Drosophila melanogaster: one gene and its partner. The protein of the gene in region 2 purifies or fractionates together with the protein of the main gene of each other region. This does not show direct contact. Each region holds a gene or a part of one and is shown on either strand. Other genes may lie near its edges.

Region 1 (3,756 bases), on a different chromosome or scaffold from region 2:
CTCTATTTATAGCAGATATAGCGCTTTTCCAAATTGTTTGCCTAGCTTCAAACCTTCTAGATGTGCTTACCAAAAATGAAATATCTATATTATGCATAAGCTTAGCCAGGATTCGCGATTGCCTTGGTTCCATTATCATTTCCTTTCGATCGTTTCTAGTTAAATGGGTGGTTTAAGTTGTAATCAAAATTCAGTTATTAATAGTGACTACTATAAGTATGTTCCTTTGAGACTCCCCGCAGGTTCGTAGATGATGCATATTCCAGACGGCGCATAGGAGTTGTGATTTTGATTTCATTATTTTTCGTATGTGATCATTTAAATTAAGTTAATTGTGATGAGGTTTTTATTTGAAGTTTTTATGAAAACTGTGCTCTAAACCTATGTATACTTAACTGATAGTGTTTCAATACCAATAAATGCTTCAAATTCAAACAAAACAAGTCAAGTCTATATACAATTCTCTGTTTGTGTCTGGAAACCACCTGCACCTGCCTGGCGTCTGGCATACGAATTATGAGTTGACTGGGGACGACACTCGATTCCCAGGCGGCTTCTCATGTTGCAGTGGAAAGTTCTCGCATCTGGCTGGGGCACCTCCATGATCCGAGCCGAGAGCCGCGGGTGCGTTGGCAGCGGGGGGCATTTCATTTGTCAACGTAATTTTGCCAATTCAATTAATGCTCATTTAATGCAGAGCAGGCCGACCGGCCAGCCTACAGCATACACATTGGTGTACAATGGCCCACGGACAACGAAGTGGGCAGTTAAGTGGCCACAAACGGTCGGTCATGCAAACTCAGTGGCAGATCCACAATTACTTTTCCTAGGGGGCACAACTCTCCTAGTATGTACATATGGGGGAATTACGAAAAGCACAGTTTTGCGTATGTGAACATGCCTTTTGGTTCCAAAGTTCTATGAATTTTATTTTCCATTTAAGCCAGTCGCTAAAAAAAAAACCAAAATCTGATTTATACAATCAATAATAAAGACATCAACTAATGACATGAATAATGATTTTGGTTTTGGTATAAAATTGTTTTATATATTCTTAAACAATCGAACGAGCAAGTATGATAACTCAAAGGAATTCCAAATGAAGTTATATTACATCGATGTCATTTCCTAAAATCACGAATATAGCATAAGATAGTTCTATCCCGTGGACCACACCTATGTGATTTGATTTTGGATTTTATACTAACAAGCAATGGGAATCTGAACCGATTTTTCTGCTTATGCTAATGCCACAACTTATATCAGAATCAGCTGATAATATTTCCATTTGAAACTTTGTTGTATAAATTATATTTATTAATAAGAAAAAAAAGAAGGTATATTGACTTTGGCCGGAAAGACGAAACATTTGCGAGCATATAAAGAATATACGTATATTCATGATCAGTATCAGCAGCCAGGTGGATTTCGCTATGCCCACCAGTTCTACTACGCAAACTCAGTTCTACAGATATCTAAATGAAACTACCATTAAAGTTTGTTCTCTAATACTTGTCAGGTAGTATATAAGTAGGAACGGGCCGGATTGGACTTGGGCCATTGCATCACTAGGAATATTCGAAAAAAATGTTGGTCAAAAAGTATTTTAGTTCGGTTTTCGGAATTTTTTAAACAATATATAATTTTGGTTTTAATTTGGTAAAAATCCGACGAATATATATTCCGAACAGTCGGAAAAGTAATTGAAAATGGCAGAAATTAAATCACAGTTCATTTTGATTCACTATGATCTTTATGCGGAATAAAATCTTAGTTTTGATATATAAATTGTGCAATGATATATATCTTTCCTTCCTGTTCTCTATTTAAATTTGGTAATGCGTTCTCTTGGAATGCTAATGTAATGGATAGAAAAATCAAATTAGCTCATCATATAAAAAGAAACAATATAATTGTTATCCTCTTTAACCAGAAGTAAATGCCATTTAAATAAAAATTTTTTTGCTTCATGATAATGGTATATACAAAACTAAGAAAAATTATATCGAGAAAATTACTACTGCTGAACAGTAGTAAAAACCAAATACTGCATTCTAACATTAAGACCAAGCCGAGCGGCATAGCCGCTCTTCTCTATTGCCAGTATCCCTGCAAACTCTTCAATCCTAGATATCATTTTCATATATCAGGTAATCCTTAATTTCTCGTCTCCTCAACAACCTCGACATTATCAAAAAATTCCATAATGAGATTTAAATTACGCCGGCGAGTGCAACTCAATTGAGCGACACTCAAAATCGCCCCACAGTTGAGTGCGACATACCCACATTGAGCGGGGCTCGAAGGTATAAAAGCTGGAGCAGCCCAGACCACAGTCAACAGTTTCCTCCGAGCGAGCATTCAGTCCTCACACAATCTATCACAGAAGCCAAAAAAAATAAGATTCACCATGAAGAACGCTGTTGCTATTCTGCTGTGCGCCCTGCTGGGTCTGGTAAGTGTTGCAAGGAGACAGAAGCCGATGGCAGCCAGTAATCTAAATTCATCCGTTTGCTCCTCGACAGGCCTCTGCCTCCGACTACAAGCTGCGCACCGCCGAGGATCTGCAGAGCGCGCGCAAGGAGTGTGCCGCCAGCAGCAAGGTGACCGAGGCCCTGATCGCCAAGTACAAGACCTTCGACTATCCCGACGATGACATCACCCGCAACTACATCCAGTGCATCTTCGTCAAATTCGACCTGTTCGATGAGGCCAAGGGCTTCAAGGTGGAGAACCTGGTGGCGCAACTGGGCCAGGGCAAGGAGGACAAGGCCGCGCTGAAGGCCGACATCGAGAAGTGCGCCGACAAGAACGAGCAGAAGTCGCCCGCCAACGAATGGGCCTTCCGTGGCTTCAAGTGTTTCCTTGGCAAGAACCTGCCCCTCGTGCAGGCCGCCGTCCAGAAGAACTAGGAGTTCAGCGCAGTTCCACATCAATTCTAGAAGCGAAAGATCAATCAACACGCAAGCAACGCGGCATTTTCGAGTTGAAATCCGCTCAGGCTCTGCAATCCTACGATTGAAATAAAACCATATAATAGTGCTTTTGAATGAAGAATGTTCTTTTTATTATTCACAATATTTCTGAGGGCTGGAAGAGAGGTAGGGCTGCTGGTGGTGGCAGGAATCAAGCTGTTACTCGCATCCTCAATCCCAAAAAACCTTGTCCCGCCCAAAGGAAAGGCATTGATAGCTTATTTAATTCGATTATATTTGTCTTCATCTTTTTCGCTTTAGTAAATTCAACTTCTTTTCTTATCTTCTCTTTACTCTATATATTTTTTTTTTAAATATATAAATTACACACGCACTTTTTATATATTTTGTTGATTTACTTCTTTCCCAAGAGTCTTGTGTTCTTTTGATTTTTTTTTTATATTTTCTTCCTTCTTTATTTGCTTTTGCCATCTTTTAACTTCTTTTATTTGGGGTTTGTGGTTTCTTTTGCGCTTCTTTTATATATACTTATTGTTGTATATACTTTTTTGTTTTTTAAATCAACTTCTTGTTTTTCATAATCTTTTTTTTTTTTTTGATGTTTTATTGAAAATTAAAATGTGTGAAAAGGGGGTGTTTGGTGTTGGGTGCTTCAAAAAACATTATAGCCAAGTCAAGATATTCGTTTTCCTTGTTGATTTTTTATTATTTTCGAGGTCTCTTCTTTTCGCCTGTTTTCTTGCTGCTGATGCATTTTTTATTGAAACGATATTTTTTCTGGCGTTTTCTGTTGCGATTGTTTTCTCTTTTTTATTTAGCA
Region 2 (3,756 bases):
TGAGACTAGAGACGGACCCAAATCGGGCCCGTCCATCATCTAATGTATACGTATCTGTATCTGTGCTTGTATCTGTATCTGTGTGTGTTTGACCTCTCTGGCCGCTGACATAAATTGATAAAGTCGGCCGATTGGCGAGGCGATGCCATGAGTAAACATTTGAGAACCGAGCCGAACTAAAACATTCAAATCGAAATCAAAATCAAAATCGAAAATGAAAACGAAAACGAAAACGAAAACGGAGGCGACAATGCAGCCAGTGTTTATTTATTAAAATCAATTTTTACACAAATTAATAGAGCAGGCGGCGAAGTCGTGGAAGTTGAGTTTACTTTGTCAATTTGCGATTTATATGCGCTGTACGATATTTTATTTCGCTTTTCGGCAACTTATCCTCCATCGAAAATTCAAAAATAAACAAATAAAGCAGCTGTCGCTTTAATGGGGATATATCTACCTACACACACACACACACACACATACAGTGAATATAGCTTAATAATGCCCGACGCGTTGGCCTGATTGTATAATTGCTCGAGCGATTCCCGGTAACGATGACATCACGACGTTGGTGTGGTAGGGGGGAGGGGGGAGGGCGGCGCTTAAAACAGGCTCTGGCAGAGAAAAAACCGAATTACAAAAAAAGCTGATAGCAAAAATTCATTACAACAATGACAGACACTTAATCACTTAATAGAGAAAATCAAAAACGAGAGCAGATCAACCAGGCTTTGTGGCGCTGGTGAAATTTTTGCGGCTAAGCTAGATTTAATTACGGATTTCAAACGGAGATAACGAGCTATTCAAACGAACGGCCTATAAAGTATAGTTTAAGGCTAATCAAATGTATTACAACTAATTTAATTAGTCTATCTACACTTTGGCATTGATCCCTAGCAGATATTTACAATTTATTGAGACTGATTAGGCTTTATAGATAAATATATAAAGAAGTTAATAGCTATATCCATTAGAGTAAGCTTCGAATATTAATCACTTCATTAAAACTGTATTTTAAGTTTTTTCTTATTACGTTTTTTTTTTACTCACACTAAAAAATCTCAACCACTTTAAATGCAATTAATGACAAATCTGTAAAAAGTGATTAACTGGAGAGCTAAGAACACAATATTTCAACCCAAATTGGTGAAGGTTATTTGCTCTGCGATGATTAAAGTTTTCAAAGCTCTCGAAATCAATTGATATTCTTCCATCATCCAGATCATTATCGTTTATCAATATGCGTACTTATGAGTCGCCCCTCGTTTCGCAGCTTGGCTTCGCTTGTTTTTGTTTTTCCACACACATTTCTAATTTTTTTGTTTTTGTTTGCCAAAGTTCTCTATCTCCATCTCTATACCCCTCTGTTCTGTTTGCTCCGATCTTATGTATTTCCAAGCCGAGTTTTATTCTCGCTGCGTTCGCTTTGCCCTCGCTCTTCTTCGCTCCCGCCGCCGCAGCTTCAGCGGTCTCTCGCTCTTCCCTCTTCGTCTTGCCCGGTTTCGTATTCTCAACGAGTTCACTTAAAGTTTGGATCACCTCCGCCGGCGAACAGTTTCAGTTTTACCTTTAATGCGAGCACAACAAGTCAGTGGAGAGTCATTCTAATATTCCGTTGGTTTTTTTTTTTCTGTGATCTGAGTTCTTTGCGCCGTGTGATAATTTATATAGTTTTTATGGCCAGGAACTGGAACTATAACTTCTTTGATATACACGTATAATAATCCGAGATTTGGGCTTCTTAGAATTCCATTTTGTTTGATTCTCTAATGATGTATTTATTTTATATGGTTCAGCTTCTTCTTCATAATTCTTATCTATTAATAGTCTTCTAAGAATATAACGTGCCTAGTTTTTTGAATTCAGAATCACAGAATGTTAAAATAAGTCATTTTTCCATAATAATCAGGCATACAAAATAACCTAAAATCTTAAAATCTCACACATAATGTGGGTTTACTCTGGAACTTTCCAACAGTTAACAGTTTCAATATAAATACATATATTTTCCTATTCACAGCTATGAAGCTCTACGCCCTGTTCTCCCTTCTGGTGGGATCTTTGGCCATTGGTCAGATTTCCGCCGCCGGATCTCATCATCTACTTTGTTACTATGACGGCAACAGTTTTGTCCGCGAGGGTAAGTCCCACTTCTAGTTCGTTCTTGGCTATATAGTTGATAAGAATCGGGGTTATCGGTGGAAGGAAAATGTACATATATTACCCGTACGTATGTACATATACATATGTGTATTTTGAAACCAAGAGATAGAGAGCTGCGCGGACTCAATTCAATTAGATGATTTTCACTTTTCATAGACACATGCTAAAAGCATAAAGCGGTGTACTTTTTTGCGATTCTGATAATTGGCAACGGGTCACAAGATCAGAGGGGAATGTTTTGCAACCAATTTGAGTAAATTGCATATAGAGAGGAAAGCCCACACAAAACGCCAGACTTGAACTAATTGAAATTGGCATCGGGTGTTCGACGATGATGATTCATGACCAGAGGTGCCACCTCCAAGGCGCTAATTGATGATGCAAACCGAGCTTATTTTAGTACACTCGAATTTTCAGCTGCCAGTGGAAGATTCACTGAATATAAAGTGTTGGCAATATTAAACACATGCTTTTTCGGGGACAACAATCAAATTTATTGATTAACTCAACGCTTCCTGTTAACAAAGCATTAGTATAATAAGCTTTTACATTCATGAATATATTTCACAATTTCCTTATTCTAAAATGAACATCAACAGGCCTCTCCAAGCTGATCCTAACCGATCTGGAGCCCGCCCTGCAGTACTGCACCCATCTGGTCTACGGATATGCCGGCATTAATCCCTCGAGCAACAAGCTGGTCAGCAACAATGAGAAATTGGACCTGGATCTGGGCAGCAGCCTGTTCCGCCAGGTGACCGGATTGAAGCGCAAGTACCCAGCCCTCAAGGTCCTGCTTAGCGTGGGTGGCGACAAGGACACCGTGGATCCAGAGAACAACAAGTATCTGACCCTGCTGGAGAGCAGCAATGCCAGGATTCCGTTCATCAACAGTGCTCACTCGCTGGTGAAGACCTACGGTTTCGATGGCCTCGATCTCGGCTGGCAGTTCCCCAAGAATAAGCCAAAGAAGGTGCACGGCAGCATTGGCAAGTTCTGGAAGGGATTCAAGAAGATCTTCAGCGGTGATCATGTCGTCGACGAGAAGGCCGAGGAGCACAAGGAGGCCTTCACCGCCCTGGTTCGCGAACTGAAGAACGCCTTCCGTCCCGATGGCTACATCCTGGGTCTCAGTGTCCTGCCCAATGTGAACTCTTCGCGTGAGTTAACATAAATAATTTCGATTGTATTAGATTTCATTTAGTATGTTTTGTTCGAAAGATTGCCCAGCATATTTATTATATATTCAATATGTTTTTGTTTATCTGGTTTAGTGTTCTTCGATGTGCCCGCTATTATCAATAACTTGGACTACGTGAACCTGCACACCTACGACTTCCAGACCCCCGAGCGCAACAACGAGGTGGCCGACTTCCCGGCACCGATCTACGAGCTGAACGAGCGCAATCCGGAGTTCAATGTCAACTACCAGGTGAAATACTGGACCGGAAACCGTGCTCCGGCCGCTAAGATTAACGTGGGCATTGCCACCTATGGACGTGCCTGGAAATTGACCAAGGATTCGGGACTGACTGGACTTCCACCGGTTGCCGAGGCTGATGGTGTGGCTCCTGCCGGAACCCAGACCCAGAT

What was found. The genes of interacting proteins can lie anywhere in the genome.
Region 1: the proteins of Idgf4 (region 2) and Obp44a purify together in Drosophila melanogaster (affinity purification with mass spectrometry, with the first as the bait; one large-scale study listed by BioGRID). This does not show direct contact.

Annotation. Positions count from the first base shown.
Region 1 is NT_033778.4:8,133,666-8,137,421, reverse strand, and holds Obp44a (Odorant-binding protein 44a), read left to right. Parts: upstream 1-2,106; 5' UTR 2,107-2,410; coding exon 2,411-2,455; intron 2,456-2,525; coding exon 2,526-2,912; 3' UTR 2,913-3,252; downstream 3,253-3,756.
Region 2 is NC_004354.4:9,928,739-9,932,494, reverse strand, and holds the start of Idgf4 (imaginal disc growth factor 4), read left to right. Parts: upstream 1-1,546; 5' UTR 1,547-1,587; exon of another isoform or gene 1,588-1,614; intron 1,615-2,020; 5' UTR 2,021-2,022; coding exon 2,023-2,140; intron 2,141-2,762; coding exon 2,763-3,323; intron 3,324-3,437; coding exon 3,438-3,756. UniProt on the Drosophila melanogaster protein: Cooperates with insulin-like peptides to stimulate the proliferation, polarization and motility of imaginal disk cells.